2 linked regions of the Oryctolagus cuniculus genome follow. The protein of the gene in region 1 interacts with the protein of each later gene in a biochemical or structural test. Links are inferred from orthologs where the notes say so. Each region holds a gene or a part of one and is shown on either strand. Other genes may lie near its edges. The genes, in order: PRKN and EIF4B.

Evidence for each region.
Region 2: of the proteins of PRKN (region 1) and EIF4B, one has a biochemical effect on the other in vitro, tested with the Homo sapiens proteins (2 studies listed by BioGRID). The link is inferred for Oryctolagus cuniculus from reciprocal best matches to the Homo sapiens genes PRKN and EIF4B.

Annotation. Positions count from the first base shown.
Region 1 is NC_091436.1:6,462,836-6,466,647, forward strand, and holds part of PRKN (E3 ubiquitin-protein ligase parkin), read left to right. Parts: intron 1-1,270; coding exon 1,271-1,511; intron 1,512-3,812. UniProt on the Homo sapiens protein: Functions within a multiprotein E3 ubiquitin ligase complex, catalyzing the covalent attachment of ubiquitin moieties onto substrate proteins. Substrates include SYT11 and VDAC1.
Region 2 is NC_091442.1:56,100,790-56,104,601, forward strand, and holds part of EIF4B (eukaryotic translation initiation factor 4B), read left to right. Parts: intron 1-1,699; coding exon 1,700-1,812; intron 1,813-3,225; coding exon 3,226-3,439; intron 3,440-3,812. UniProt on the Homo sapiens protein: Required for the binding of mRNA to ribosomes. Functions in close association with EIF4-F and EIF4-A. Binds near the 5'-terminal cap of mRNA in presence of EIF-4F and ATP.

The sequences.
Region 1 (3,812 bases):
GGGTGTGAGCTACATTTCTGAGACACACACAGTCCCTGTGGGACCTCGCCATACGTAGGGTGCTGCAGCACAGGCAGGAGTCCAAGGTAAGGGATCCATGTGGCCCATGAGAAAATGCAGGAGGAAAATCAGACGTTTAGTTGGGAGGAGAGGGCCTGAAGCCTGGGTGAGGTGGGGAACAGTGATGCTTGGACTGAAGAAGGAATGTCAGCAGGGGGAGGACTTAGGGGACAGAGAATGACAGAAAGTAACCGCAGCTGAGCAGGAGCCATCCTGCGGAGACCTAGGAAGCCATGAGGATGGGGCAGTGCAAGCAACCCATCAACCTGACAGAGGCCGGAGCGTGAGAGTGGGGAAGGGGTGGGAATGGGACTTTAGATTGCAAGGCATCCTGGTGGGCTGCTGTGTGGAGGAGGCTGATGCCCAGTGGTGTGCATGCAGGGGTACCTGTGAGTGATGGACACCACCCCAGGAAGCTCTGAAAGTGACCACAACAAGGGAGTCTGGGGCGGGTGCAGGTGGAAGGAAGAATGTACCCCTGTTACTAGTTAAGGATTAGTATTATTGTGCTTCACCCACGTGTGGATTCAAAACCTTTTTGGAAATGTTCTCTGTTGTTACTTGTGAAATTGGTATCAAAAGTGAATGAGTCCCAGGTCCACAAGCACGTGTTCTCTGCTTGCTGCCCCTTTGGTCAAGCAAGCGTGCCTGTTGGCAACAGCAGAGGGGATGTGTGAGGTCTATTGTTAATGTGTTTGAAATTATTTGGAGCAATGCCCTGTTGGTGACAATAGCTAACTTTCTGTGCTCTTTTATAAAACAGAAATGAATGCCAGCCCTTACATTAGATAATTATAAGGACATATTTCTGAAGTAAATCAGTTTTTAAAATTTAAGATTATCATTTTCTACTGTGCCTCTGGAAGCATTGTGGTAATTCGTTTTTTTCCTATGGGGTTTCATATCCCTTTGAATGTCTCTTTAGGTTTTGGGTGTCATGTTCTCCACCACACACACATTTCTGTTTCTGGCCCAGTGCAGGGTTGCGTGTGTGCTGTGCCCAGTGTGGAAGCACCCTGGCACTGCTGGCAGGTGCCTGTGCTGACACTGGGTGTGTACACACATTTCCCAACTCCTGGTTGCTCAGCTGCGTATAGAAATCGTGCATACCAAGTGTAAGACTGTCTCGCACACTGTGGGACGAGGACCAGGCAAACTGTGCATGCATTTAATGCTGCCTTCCCCGTGTGTTTCCACCTGGCTCCAACAGAACTGTGACCTGGAACAGCAGAGCATTGTTCATGTTGTGCAGAGACCACAGAGAAAAGGTCCAGAGACCAACGTGCCTGGAGGAGACAACCCCAGAAGGACCTCAGGAGGCTTCCAGAGGGAGCCAGCGAGCTTAACACGCGTGGACCTCAGCAGCGACATGCTGCCGGCAGTCTCCGTGGGGCTGGCTGTTATTCTGGATGCCAATGGCAGCAGGGGCTCAGCAGCAGCTGGAAGTCCAGGTAATCACAGAGTCTGCCCAACACTTGGGGGGCACTTAGTCCGTGGTAAGTTTTGGATTGGCGTGTACAAACCGTTTGGAGGCCTCATGAGAAGGCACTTGGAGACCAACGGTAGAGGAATGCGTTTAATAGAAGTGTAACAAACAGAGCCACCATAATGAAATGGAATATGAGGGATGTCAGGAGATGGATGGGAGGTGTCGGGACCATGATAATAGGATTTAGTTTTCTTGAAGTACATTTCGATTGATTATGTTTCTGTTGATGTAGAGAAGCTTTAAAAAGCAGGCAGAGAAAGTGAGAGGTCATTTTAGGTTGTGTGGGTTCTAAGGCCGTAGTTTGTGATATCGGTGAAAGCCTTTCTCTGAAGGAGTCCTTCCTGTCTCTGCTCTAACCTGCTTTACAGTGCTTTTCTTTGGTAAGGAAGGGAGCTATTCCTCTGTTATTTTGACAATATTGATATGTTGCCCTACTCTTTTATTCTCCGAGCCAAATTGTCAAAAGAACACCAAGATTAATTTTGACCATGAGTGTGTTTGACAGACTATACAAAATAGTAACAAAGACTTCATGGGGTAGAAGGTGATGTCCCTCCCATCTGCACTAGGTCAGGACATAGGCAGTCCTGGGCTAGTACGGGTTTCACAGGGCCAGGGAGATCTGGGACCAGCAGGACGAAAGCATAAAATAGAAGGAAATGCCTCCTACAAATAGTAGGGGTTGATGGGTCCAGTTTCTTGTCACCCAGACAGGAAAGAATTCAGTGGTGGGACACTCACCAACACCAGTTGGAGGAAAGGATCTGCTGGCGGAGCCACCGTCCACCCTTGAAGAGTGAGTGTGAGCTCAAGACGATGCTGTGCTCGAGGGGCTGAGGCAGATTCTTTGATGAGGTTTTCCCACCTTGGATTATACCATTTACAGAAGGGGGGCAGATTTTACCATATCCAGGGTGGGTCTCTGTTGGCGCAGGTGCGGTTGGGATAACATGGTCTACCTCATACTGAAGCTTCATTACCATCTCCAGCCTCCCACAGGGTGTCTGTGACCACTGGAAGGAAGCATAGACTTGTCAGTGTTCAAGATGGCCCCCCAATCTGGTTAAAACCTTTTTTGTTTGCCTGTGTAGTGCAAGGAGGTGATTGGGGTCTGGCTGCTTAATCATTGATGATCAGGGCCTGTTTCTTATCAACAGATGGTTGTGACAACATTAATGTCTGGCATGGGGCATCCACCCTAAGCCAGTTACTTATCTACCCTGCCTCACTAAGCCAGCCCTCCCTCTATCCTGCCCCCACTCCTAAAATCACTAAATTGAATTTAATCAATTTTTGAAATCATAGATGAACTTGCTCAAAACAACACAGAATTTCCAGGCACAAGTGAATGAGTAGAAATAACACAACTATCTTCAAATAGAAAAATGAATTAACCCAGAATTTAGGAACTTGAGCTGATGATGTTCTAGTGGTCTTGGTTAGGTTACAGAGAGGAGGGAGGTTCTGCTTCAGGTGTACTGGGCACCTAGGGTACTGAAAGAAGACCTGAGAAATGGAAATAATGTAGCAAATAGCAAAATGGGGAAAGTTAGATAAACAGAAATCTATGCAATACCTATGTAATCCAAGATAAGAAATGAATTTAATTATTGGATAGAGGCTGAAAACACATCTGATATTTCAAGCAAGGCACATGTGGGATGACTCCCAAGAGCCCACTTAGATGTCCTGGCATGGATGCCTCCTGAGAGAAGCAAACCTTACTAAAGGGCATTCATGATCCCAACACTGCAAATCAAGCAAGGAAAACCCCACCTTGAGCATATAGGAGGCCAGAATATGCTACCGCTAAATATCAAAATACATCATCCTGAAATAGGCCTTTGTAACATTAAGGATGGCTTTGAGATGAGTGCCTTGAGTAAGAGCAAACACAGGGGAATCTCTACAAAAGCAGAAAGTCACGTTTTGTCAGGGAGGATCACATCTGTGAAGGAGGGCTCCCTCTGCAAGGGTGTCTCAGGTCAGCCCAGGGAGAGGAGCTCTGAGTCCCTAGAGACTTCTCTTCAGAGAAGGCAATGCCCTAAACCTGCCCTACGCACTTGTTGGCTGTACTTTCTCAGCCACATCCCCATTAACTGGCTCCTCCCACACCCTTCTCTCTTTTGTCCTTTGCTAAAGATGGTACTGAAACCTGAATTCAAGGCCACCTCTTTGATATTTACTCATTTTACCTGAATACCTTCCATAATTACATGAGTTAAATGTGTTAATAAACTTCTGTTTTGTTGTGGTTAGTCTG
Region 2 (3,812 bases), on another chromosome or scaffold:
TTGCTGCTATTTGGGGAGTGAACCAGCAAATGAAAGATCTTTTTCTCTCTCCCTCTCTTCTGCCTTTCAAATAAATCATCATTTATTTTTATTTACTTAGTATTAAAAAGTCACGTATTTACTAGCATAAAGACTCTTTAAAAAATTCTAATGTGGCCGGCGCCGCGGCTCACTAGGCTAATCCTCCGCCTTGCGGCGCCGGCACACCGGGTTCTAGTCCCAGTCGGGGCGCCGGATTCTGTCCTGGTTGCCCCTCTTCCAGGCCAGCTCTCTTCTGTGGCCAGGGAGTGCAGTGGAGGATGGCCCAGGTGCTTGGGCCCTGCACCCCATGGGAGACCAGGAGAAGTACCTGGATCCTGCCATCGGATCAGCGTGGTGCGCCGGCTGCGGCAGCCATTGGAGGGTGAACCAACGGCAAAAGGAAGACCTTTCTCTCTGTTTCTCTCACTGTCCACTCTGCCTGGCCAAAAAAAAAAAAAATTCTAATGTTCTGGGGCTGGACATCTGGCATAGTGATGAAGGTGCCATTTGGGGTGCCACGCCACGTGAAAGTGCCTGAGTTAAGTGGCTCAAGGATTAGGCTCCTGCCACCCACGTGGGAGACCCAGACTGGATTCCTAGCTCGTGGTTTGGCACCTGTTGCGCCCCAGCCGTCACAGCATCCAGGAAGTGGACTGGCAGATGGAACATCATTGCTTCTCTGTCTCTGTCCTCTGCCTTTCAAAGTAAATAAATAAGTTTTAAGAAGTAAGTTGATGGTTCTGAAGAACCAGGCTAGTTACAAATGGCTTACAGGATTAACAGTAGAGAAGTGCAGCATAGATTGTGTGAGAGAATATTTTCTTAAATGTATTTGAAAGGCAGAGAGATCTCCCATCAGTTGATCAAAGCTGGGAGCGGGGACATTGATCAAGCCTCCTGCATTAATGCAGAGACCCAGCCACTTGAGCCACCACGTCTTCCCCCGCCCCGCCCCCCCCCCCCCCCCCCCCGGGTAGACGTAGGAGGAAGCTGGAATCAAGCGGAGCCAGGACTCCAGCACAGGCTTCCAGTACAGAACGCAGGCCTCCCAGGCTGCGTCGGAAGCACTCCACCAAGCGCCAGCCCTGGAGGAGGATGCTCTTTAATAACTGATTCTTGGCCGGCGCCGTGGCTCAATAGGCTAACCCTCCGCCTGCGGCGCCGGCACACCGGGTTCTAGTCCCGGTTGGGGCACTGGATTCTGTCCCAGTCGTTCCTCTTCCAGTCCAGCTCTCTGCTGTGGCTTGGGAGTACAGTGGAGGATGGCCCAAGTGCTTGGGCCCTGCACCCCATGGGAGACCAGGAGAAGCACCTGGCTCCTGGCTTCGGATCAGCGCTGCACGCCAGCCATAACAGCCATTTGGGGGGTGAACCAACGGAAGGAAGTCCTTTCTCTCTGTCTCTCTCTCACTGTCTAACTCTGCCTGTCAAAATAAATAAATAAATAAAAATAACTGATTCTTGCGGGATTTAGAGCCCAAGCTGTGTCTGAGTATCTGTGACTCTCAAATCATGTGAGGGAACAGAACCCGTGCCTGCATGCACACACACGCACCCATGGATAGAGCAAGTATCGTCTGATGATGATGGGTGATGGTTCTCGAGGCTCAGCACGGGTCCAGGGTGACCTTGTTTGACAGGACATAATGATGTGTTTTGTGCCGTCACTTCTGTGCAGACACCCAAGCTGGCGAAGTGAAGAAACTCAGGAACGCGAGCGGTCAAGGACAGGAAGTGAGTCATCGCAGACTGGGACTGCAGCCGCTTCTGGCAGAAGTAAGTCAGACCAGGGTGGGTATCGTCACTGCCACTGCCTGTCCCCAAGTCACACAGCGGTCTGGCAGTGCTAGATCGGCGGGCACTCTGTTTGGGTTAGCATGGACTGATGGGAGTTTAGCATCTCCTGCTGGGAAATCTGAGGAATGGGCACCAGGATAGAGGTAAACGATGGGTTTGGAGCCTACTTGACCGTTTACCTTGTCCCGTCATCGTCGGTCTTTGTGTCAGCAGTTTTGTGACCCTGAGCAGTCCCTGGGCCTGGAGTGCTGGGTGAGCTGCCCCTGGACCAGCCTTTGGTCATGGTGTGTGTGTCTTCCTTCCTCACTGGTGTCTGGTGGGTCACGTGTACCTGTAGTGTTGGAGACCTGGCTGGTTCAGTGCTGCTCCCCCTTCCCTTACCAAGATCCAGTCTTTAACCCTCCTTTCCTGTCTCTGAACTGTTTGGTACTTAAGCGTTTCAAAACACAGCTCAAGGCTGAAGCAATTTGGAGATTCCTCCAGGTATTGTAGTTTGCTGGAGTTTGCAGGTACTGCATGTGGAGCCGGCGCTGCGGCTCACTAGGCTAATCCCCCGCCTGCGGTGCCGGCACCCCAGGTTCTAGTCCCAGTCGGGGCGCCAGATTCTGTCCCGGTTGCCCCTCTTCCAGGCCAGCTCTCTGCTGTGGCCCGGGAGTGCAGTGGAGGACGGCTCAGGTCCTTGGGCCCTGCACCCGCATGAGAGACCAGGAGAAGCACCTGGCTCCTGGCTTCGGATCAGCGTGGTGTGCCGGCCGCAGCGCGCCAGCTTTAGCGGCCATTGGAGGGTGAACCAACGGGAGGAAGACTTTTCTCTCTGTCTCTCTCTCTCTCTGTCTAACTCTGCCTGTCAAAAAAAAAAAACAAAACACAGAACTGCATGTGGTACCTAGGGACTTTGTAGCAAAGGGAAAGTGTTCGAGAGTGTTGAGCTGATCCTGTAACTACGTCTGTAGAGCTGGCGCTTACAAACGTGGAAAGATCATGACAAACAGGTTCTGGGCTTTAAGGAAACTTTTGGTGCCCTTTTAAAAAAATAAGTGCACATCGGTTTTCATGAGTGTGTGCGCGTGGCCACGTCCTAGTGTGTGTGTGAGAGTGCTGAGCCCGAGTGGGCCGAGCAGTGAGAACTGGAGTTGGGAGCCGCCAACGCCCTGGCACATGGCTGCGCGCTGCCCCCGGGTGTTTTCCCGTGTTCTCTGCACACCGGTAGGCGCTTTGGTGAAGACGCTGTTTGACACTGCTGCAGGGATCCATCCACCGGGCACCCGGTTGGTGTCTTTCATGACGACGGGAGCTGCTAAACTCAGCTGTGGAGCGTTTTCCATGCCGCTGACATGGGGGACAGGGGCTTGTGCAGGTTGTGCCACCCCCACAGCCTCCACGCTGACCTCCACTCTGCCCCCACAGATGCGCGGAGGAGAGAGAGTGAGAAGTCTCTAGACAACGAGACCCTCAGTAAGGAGGAGGACTGTCACTCTCCAACTTCTAAGCCTCCCAAACCCGATCAGCCTCTAAAGGTAATGCCAGCCCCTCCACCAAAGGAGAATGCTTGGGTGAAGCGAAGTTCTAACCCTCCTGCTCGGTCCCAGAGCTCAGACACAGAGCAGCAGTCCCCGACCAGGTGAGTCAGCTCGCAAGCCGCAGAGTCTGAATATGGGATCTCGTGATGGAAAATGCCTGCGGGGTGCGGCCGGTGTCGCGACGCGCCGGCCTCACTCTCTCCGTTACAGTTAGTTGTGTGCTGGAGCTGGCTCGGAGAGCCAGTGCTCGGTTTTCTGCTTTTGGGTAGCTGGTTGGCATCCCTTGGATGACTTGACGTTAGCTACGATGGGCGTGGCGGGCACTGTAAACCAGGCTCTGCCCAGCTCTGCCGCATGGCAGCATGTACCTGGAGCCACCTCGCTTCTGAGGCTCGAACCTCCAAGCCTCGCACTGCCCTGGCACGGCTGCCATGATTCTAAAGCACACAGCACTTACGTTCAAATGATTGCTTC